Linked DNA regions of Oryctolagus cuniculus. The protein of the gene in region 2 purifies or fractionates together with the protein of the main gene of each other region. This does not show direct contact. Links are inferred from orthologs where the notes say so. Each region holds a gene or a part of one and is shown on either strand. Other genes may lie near its edges.

Evidence for each region.
Region 1: the proteins of CSK (region 2) and TNS3 purify together in Homo sapiens (affinity purification with mass spectrometry; 4 studies listed by BioGRID and IntAct, with this or other methods). This does not show direct contact. The link is inferred for Oryctolagus cuniculus from reciprocal best matches to the Homo sapiens genes CSK and TNS3.

Annotation. Positions count from the first base shown.
Region 1 is NC_091447.1:53,170,075-53,173,876, forward strand, and holds part of TNS3 (tensin-3), read right to left. Parts: intron 2,150-3,802; coding exon 959-2,149; intron 1-958. UniProt on the Homo sapiens protein: May act as a protein phosphatase and/or a lipid phosphatase. Involved in the dissociation of the integrin-tensin-actin complex. EGF activates TNS4 and down-regulates TNS3 which results in capping the tail of ITGB1.
Region 2 is NC_091443.1:108,911,293-108,915,764, forward strand, and holds the start of CSK (tyrosine-protein kinase CSK), read right to left. Parts: upstream 2,997-4,472; 5' UTR 2,648-2,996; intron 1-2,647. UniProt on the Homo sapiens protein: Non-receptor tyrosine-protein kinase that plays an important role in the regulation of cell growth, differentiation, migration and immune response.

The DNA.
Region 1 (3,802 bases), on a different chromosome or scaffold from region 2:
GAAGGTCCAAAAGCAAAAGCGAAATTCTGGTTCTCAAAATGAGCCCATCAGGTTGTTTCATAATTAGCCAATCTGAGGGTGAAACACAGGAGCGGCCTTGGAGGGCTCAGCTGGAACACACGGCCACAGCATGCTAACCCGAGCCTGCAGCGCCCACCCGCTGCCCTGTGGTCAGCTAGCCCCGCCCACTTTGCAGAGCGCACATGACTCCAGAACCCGACACCCCACTGTTCCAGGCTCACGGCTCTGGACCACAGCTGAACTCGGCCCCACACCCGAGCCTGCTTCCCCCAGTGAGTCCCCCCCTCGGCTCCCACGCTCCCACCTCTGCCCGCCCTGGCCTCTGCTCTCAGGAACGCCTCTCACCTGCAGGACCCTCCCCACCCTGGCAATGCCCCCCAGGCCTCTGCCAGAGCTGTCGCCTCCATGAATGGTCTCCCACACCACGTGGCCAACCTGCAGCTGTGGGTGTGATCCGGGCATTTTAAACACCAACGCTTACCCCCATCCCTGCCCCCATGAGGCTGTCTCAGGGGCCCTGCTGCCCTCTCCATTCTTCCCGTCAGCCCCCAGGACACTGGCACTCACCCACGGCGCGTCTGCTTGCCCCACTAACCCACCCTCAGATGTGGAAACTCAGAGGAGTCAGGGACCCGCCCACAACCGCCCAGACAGCCGGTGCTGGGCCGGCTCCTGGTCTTGCCTGGCCAAGACCTCCACATGTGATGTGTGCACTCGGCTGGCCCCTTGGTGGGCCGGGCCTGATCCCTGTCACGCACCCACCCTGAGGAAGGCTTTTCCCGGACTCGCCCCTCCCTCCCGGCCTGACACTGGGGACCCTTGGGACCCCCCACAGTGCTCTCAGATTCCCGGGTCTGAAACCCTAATGGCAGAAACCACGAGGGAAATGTCCCCCTCAGGGGGTCTCACACTCAGCGAGACAGCGTGTCTGTCTCACCTTGCAGCCTGCCGCCAGCCCGGAGCGCACTTCCCACGCCGTCCACGTACACGGGGCCGCTGGCCGGGCCGCCCAGGGCGTTCATGTGGGTAGGGATGGGCTCGAAGGTGGGGTCCAGCTCCAGGATCAGCCTGTTGAGCTGCTCGATGGACTGGTCGATGTCCAGGGTCGGGGAGCCCGGGGAGGGGCCTGCACCCAGCTCCTGGCCAGCTCCATTCACGACCCTGTCCCCTGCACTCCTGGGTGTCGGCAGCTGGGAGTCGCGTGCACACAGTCCAGTGCCAGTGCCCCTCTGGGCGGTCACCCGGCTGCTGGCCGTGCGGCTGGGGGAGACCTGGACACTGGGCTGTGCCTGGATAAGGCTGGGGCTGTCTGCAGTGCCGCGGCCCACGAGCCTGGCCTCCCCGGCGGGCGCAAGGCCATAGTGATGGGCGGCCACCATCTGTTGCTGGCGCACCCAGGTCTGCGTGGAGTAGCCGTCAGGTCCGTAGGCCTGCGTCTGCGCCGACACCGAGGGCTTCCACAGAGGCGGCGGCGGCTGCCTGGGCTCCCGGCCCCCGAACGTCCGCTCCCGCTCGTAGAGGCCATCCACGCCGAGGCCCAGCTCCGGGGTCAGCGCACACAGCGGCTCCTCGCCCACGTGGCTGCCGAAGCCATCGGACAGGAGGGAGTTCTGGCTGCTTTTGTGGCAGGGGAAGGGGCCCAGGGGGGCCGGCGGCCCCTCCGAGGAGGACAGGGTGCCCAGGCTATCCACGCTGTGCAGGTCATGGTGTGGCATCTCGTCGTCCAGGATGTCGGTCTCCTTCAGCGCGGCGTCCCCGTTCACGTGGACCTGGGCCGGCACCACCAGCCGCGTCCCGCTGCCCTGGCTGTGCGCGTCGGCCATGTCTTTGAGGGCAGGCCCCGACTCCTGCAGGCCGAAGCCGCGGAGAAGCTGGTCCAACTCCGCCTTCTCCTGGGGGCTCAGGCCCCTCCTGCCGCCCGGGGCCGGCCGCTCCTCCGTCCTGTCGGTCCGGACCGAGGCGGTAGAATGGCCCGAGTCGCTGCTGACCGACAGTGTGTGCTCGCCGTGCTCCGGGCTGCCAGCGGCTGGTCCCGTCTGGGGGCCGCTGGGGATGCCGGGGTCGGAGGTGCTCTTCTTCCTCACCTTGGCATAGAGGCTGCCATCCACGGGGCCGTGCGTGTGCAACACTGTGGGGAGGGGAGAGGCGGTCAGCGTGGGGGCAGGGCACTCGAGGGGGAGGGGGAGGGGCGGTCAGCATGGGGCAGGGCACTCATGGGGGAGGGGGAGAGGGAGTCAGTGTGGGGACAGACAGGGCACTCGTGGGGGAGGGGAAGAGGTGGTCAGCATGGGGCAGGGCACTTGTGGGGGAGGGGGAGAGGGGGTCAGTGTGGGGACAGACAGGGCACTCGTCGGGGAGGGGAAGAGGTGGTCAGTGTGGGGACAGACAGGGCACTCATGGGGAGGGGAAGAGGTGGTCAGTGTGGGGACAGACAGGGCACTCGTGGGGGAGGGGGAGAGGGGGTCAGTGTGGGGACAGACAGGGCACTCATGGGGAGGGGAGAGGCGGTCAGCGTGGGGACAGGGCACTCGAGGGGGAGGGGGAGAGGTGGTCAGCATGGGGCAGGGCACTTGTGGGGGAGGGGGAGGGAGCGGTCAGCGTGGGGGCAGGGCACTCGAGGGGGAGGGGGAGGGGCGGTCAGCATGGGGCAGGGCACTTGAGGGGGAGGGGGAGGGGCGGTCAGTGTGGGGACAGACAGGGCACTCGTCGGGGAGGGGAAGAGGTGGTCAGCGTGGGGACAGGGCAGCTGCACGGGCCCTTGGGAGCAGCACACGGCAGTAGGATGGTAGCTCTGCTGGGTTCCCACGCCCTCCCTCCCTGTCTGTCCTATCCATTCATCAACCCTAGCTAATTCATCTGTAGGTATTAAGTATGTATACATTATCTACATGTACACATGTACCTATCTTGTCTCTTCTAAGTATGTGTGTACATAGTGTACATCTATGTATACGTATGTATCTAGCCTATCAGTTCTATGTTTGTATATAAGCACGTATCCATTTATTATCTACATGTACAGATGTATCTATCCTATGTATCCTGTCAATTCTATCTGTATGTATGCACGTGTATGCATCTACCCATGTATTCATGTATCTACATGTATGCATGCATCTATCTACACACGGCATGTGTGTACACATTCATCTGTCTACATGTGTGAACCTTCATGTTCATGCTCCATGTATTATCCATGTATCTACTTGCATGTGTATTTATGTGTGCATGCATGCATCTCTGTACACGTGCATGTGTGTAGTATGTGTATGCACACTCTACATGCGTGCATCTCTGTGCATGCACCTATGTATCTGTATCTGCACGCACACATCTGTCTATCTATCTATGTATATGTGCATCTGCCTACACGTGTGCATATGCATGCAGGTCTACATGCATGTATGGATGGACACGTGCATCTGTGTGCACCTACATGTATGTACTATCTGTGTGTACATAGATACATGCATCTATGCATGTATATGCATGCACCTACATGCATGTATGTGTTATCTGCATTCGGGCACTGTGTGTATCTATCTACATGCATGTATGTATCTATATGCATGTGTGTATCTGTGTGTGCACCTACACGTATCTGTGTGCACCTATGTACATGTAGTATGTGTCTGCATGCATGTGTACACACCTATCTATCTCTGTGTATCATCTACCTACCCACCCCCTGTGTTCATCGCAGCAGAGTGAACACCAGCAGAAAAAACGCAAACACCCATCGTCCTCAGGTGCGAATCGCACCCACCGTTCCTCGCCGACA
Region 2 (4,472 bases):
CCGTGGGACCCTGCCTGGGTTAGCTCCCGTGCGGCTATGGGGTCTTGGGCCCAGGGAAGGCCAGGCAGAGGCTGGCCGCCACCTCCCTCACCCGCACACTCAGGTGAGGCACACCTGTGGAGGAGGAGGAGGAGGAGGAGGCGGCCGCCCCCACAGTCGGCCCCTCGGCCTTGGGACAGGCTGGGAAGACCAGGCTGGCAGGGTGGGGCCGTGGAGGTGCCCGGATCCTTGTCTGAGCCTCAGGCTCAGGAGGCGTCTGTGTCCAAGGGAGGGCTGCGCTGGCCTCGCCCAAGCCAGGAGGCAGGAGGCCACTGGGCACTCAGCTCGGATGCTGCGAGGCCGGAAGGCTGATGGGTGGGGTCAGGCCGGACACCAACCAGCGGCCGTCTCCCCAGGGCCAGCCCCGGGCCTGGGCCAGCCAATCGCAGGGTGACGGGGAGGGGAAGGCAGGCGAGCTGGGCAGGGCACTGGCCAAAGTAGCCAAGACCCTCCGGCTGGAGGGGGCTCTCTGGGTAGGGACCCCCCCACCTCTGCCCATGACTGGGGCCCTCCCTGCACCCCCTCCCCGTGAGGGGTGAGGAGAGCAAACGGGCTGTGCCAGCATCCCCATTACATAAAGGACCCTGGCTCCGGGGGTCAGGGACCTGTCCATCGTCCATCCACTCTGGCCGACGTGGCGTGGCCGGGCCTGGCACCCGCGTCGGCCAGCTCCTCTCTTGGCTGCTCTTGGGACACACAGGGATGACCCCAGGGACAGAGGGGCGGCACCGCACAGGCCTGGCCCGAGGTGCCCGCGGCCCTCTGCAGCTTTCTGAGGCAAAGTCTCCCGGAGCGCGAGGCCCCCTGGGAAAACGCTCAAACGCAGCATCAGCAGTGGCCGGCGGACGAGGCCTGCGGCCCCCCAGGAAAGCTTGGGGGATTTCTGCTGTTTTCTAAGTTTTTCTGCTTGGCTTTGGTGCTGGTTGTTGCTTTCTAAGTTGGGAAAACTAGCACACCCGTAACTTTTGTACAGTGACCCCAGAACCGCCTCCGCGGACCCCATCTGACCCCCACTCGGGCCCAGGCGCCCGGGCCACTTCTGCCACGGCATAGACCCGTGGGGACACCGCTCTGTGGCCTCTTCCCCAGACTCAACGCCTCTGCCCTTTGGGGACACGTGTCAGGGTTCCGAAAGTCCTCAAGAGGCATGGCACAGAGCTGCACCCGCCACCCGCCCCAGGCTCTGCCGGCTCCACTCCGGGGCGGGGGCACTGAACCTGGCCCCTCTCCCTCTCGGGCTCGGGGCACCACGCGTGGCTCGGCCTCGGCGGAGGCAGGAGGCTCCTGGTGCAACGCAGAGGGAAGAGCGGCCACTTCTGAGAGCCAGGGCGGCCCCGAGGTCACCGAACAGAAACCACATCCCGAAGCCGTCCTCTCCACACAGGCGGGGGCCCTGGCCTGCCCCTCAAAACCCCCCAGGCCTCTCCGGGCAGGCTCTGGCTCCAGGACCTGGCCGGGTCTCCTCTGTGTGTGTCCCAGCAACTGGCAGAACCCTAAAGCAAGGGCGGCCCCCCACACCCTCCCTCCTCTGCCGGGTTTCTGCTGGGACCCCAGGGCCCGGGCCCCTCAGGTGTTCCCGCTCCCCCAGAGTTCCCATGCCAAGGCGCTGCCAACGGGGAGGGGGCTCCCAGGCTCCTGCACAGACAGAGCCGCTGGAGGCGTGGGGAGGCCCGGGTGGGGGCTGACCCCCCCACCCCTCAGAACTCATCCCCTGCAGGGGGCACCCAGCCCCAAGCACCAGGGGGAAATCTCAGGGCTGGGCCGGAAGCCCCCTCTCGCCCTCCTCAGGGGAGCACGTGCTCACCCCACAAGGCCCCCTGGGGCTGGGCCTGCGTCCTTAGTGGGCGAGGGTGCACCCAGGGCTTCCCCCCACCAGCAGCAGCCCCGGCCTCTGAGCTGGGGGCAAGCACTGCCCGCCTCATCGTTCCACCAGAGGCCAGGGGCAGCTGTCCCCCTCTCTGCCCTGCTGAGCCTCAGGTCCCCGCAGGCCGACAAGGGAGCCCCAGTTAAGCTCCCAGGCTCTGGTGGCTGGACACACCCCTTCCTGACACCTGGCCCCGGCCCTGAGGAACCTGGGAGAATGGGCCGAGCCAGGTGGCAGGAGGTGGAGGCACGGCTATGGCCTGGTGTCACCTCCACCCAAGACCCAAGCCCTGCCCATGTCCCCACCCAAGGGTCAGAGATCTCTGAGAGTGACAGGTTCAGGCCCTGGACCTGGGTCTCCGGCAGAACTCAGGGGTCCACTGGGGCTTCCGGCCCGGACCAAGGCAGGGGTCAGGAGCAAGCAGGCCAGGGCACCTGCAGAGGCTCCGGCCCACACCGATGCTCTTCCCCTCCCGGGGGGGGGGGGGCTCCGACCCCCTACCCACCCAGAGCTCCACCAACCGGAGCTGGGGGCCCGACAAGCCCTGTGGGGCTGCAGGCGGTCCCTCCCTCCCTCCCTCCCGGCCGGCTTCTGACAGTGGCTCCCGGGAGAATTCGAACCCGACAACGATGGGGCGCCCCAGGCGGTGGGGGGTGGGGAGTGGACGCGGCGGCGGCGGCGGCCACGGGAGCGGGACGGGCCACCCCCGCGCGCGCCCCCCGCCGCAGGCAGCCGGGCACTCACCTCTGGCGGGGCACTGCGGTCCGGGCGGCATCAGCGGCCTGCGGGACGCTCCGCGCGGCCGGCGGGCAGGGGCGGGGCGGGGGTCCCCGGGGGAGCGGCACAAAGAGCGGCGGCACGGCCCGGCGGAGGCAGGGGGCGGCCGCGCGGCCCGGGCCGGGCGCGAAGAAAGGCGGCGGCGGAAGGGGGCGCAAACAATGTGGCCCGCGCGGCCCGGCGGAGTTCCGCTTCCCCGCGCCGCCCCGAGGCTCGCCGGGCGGACGTCGCGCCGGCGGCCGGGGGGCCCGCCCCGCACGCTCGATCGGGGCCGGGGGCCGCGAGCTGCACGCCCCGCGGGCTCGGCGGCCGGGCGAGGGCTGGGCGGGCGGGACGGCGGCCGCGGACGCCCCGACGGCGGCGCGCGCGCGCGCGCGCTCGGACCCCGCCCGGCAGGACCCCGGGGCGGCGGCGCGCGCGCTGCGGCGGGCGGGCGGGGGGCGCGGGGGGCGCGGCGGCGGCGGCGGCCACCCTCGGCTCGCCCGTGCTCCGCGGGAGGAAGCTCGCAGGCCCCGGCGAGAGGAAGCGCGGCCCGGATCTCCGCCCGCCGCAGCGCGCCTGCGCGAGGGCCTGCCCGGCGCGGCGGGGCGCGGGCGGCGCCCCCTGTCGGGCGCCGGGGACACCGCGGGGGGTGTGTCCGCGCCGGGCCTCGCGGGGCTGGCCGTGCGAGGGTCCGTCCCAGCCGCACCCCCGGCCCGCGCGCCGGCCCCGGGTCCGTGTACGGAGAGCGCGCCCTCGCCTCGCGCAGGGGGCGCTCCTTGGTGCGCGCAGGCTCCTCGGGCCCTGCCAGGGGGGCTCCTAGGAGGACCGCTCGGTCGCCGTCCGGGGGTTCTCGGAGGGTGGGCGGCAGACTGGCGGGCCCAGAGGCGCTCGCCAAGCGGGAGGTGATGGAAGGGTGGAGGTGGTGCGCCAGGTGCAGCGGTGGGAGCTGGGCTCCTGCAGCCACAGGGCTGGGAGAGTCCGGACAGCCTCCCCGGGACCCTCTTGGACTTCACGCTCAGCCTGTAGGTGACAGTGAGGGAGTAAGTGGTCAGTAGCTGAGTGACCCTGGGCCGGTGTCTGAACCTGTCTGTCTCTGCATTTGATAAAACGAGGGAAATAACAGCTTGTGCGTCTCTGGGGTTTGTGGAGAGGAAATGAGTTAATATGTCTAAATTGTTTTGCGTGCAGCCGCCGGCGCACGTGGTGGGCCCTCGGTTAAGTACGGGCTGTTATCATTCACCGCCGTGGAGGAGGGGCGGGGAGGGGGCCAGCCCGGAGCTGCAGGAGCTGGCAGTGGGCTCAGTCGTGGGCAGGCGGACCTGGAGTTTACGGGCACCTTCTGGGAACTGGCCCTGGAGCCAGGGTCTGATGTAGGGAGACAGGAGGATGGGCGTTCTCCCTGGTGGACCAGACCCATTGGCAAAGTCCCGAGGGACCAAAGGCACGAGGGGGCCATGGAGACTTTGGGGGCCCAGAGGAGGGAGAGGGAGCACCTATGATGCTGGGAGTTGGAGACCACCGTGCCCCTGCTCCCCCCCCCCGAGGAGTGGCAGGTTGGCCCTCTGACCCCTGGGAGGAGGCACCCAGAGATGGGTGCGGGGTGATGTTGAAAGAGTGTGGATTTGGGTTCAGCTCTCAGAGTTCAGCCTCCTGGGGCTGTGCGACCTTGGGCTAGTTACTTAAGGTCTCTGGGCCCAGTTTCCTCTTTTGTAAGATGAGGTGTGCACCTCCCTCCCGAGAGTAGAGGTGGTGCAGATTCAGCAAGATAAGAGCGGGTGGAGGGGCTGGCGGGGGTGGAGGGGCTGGCGCT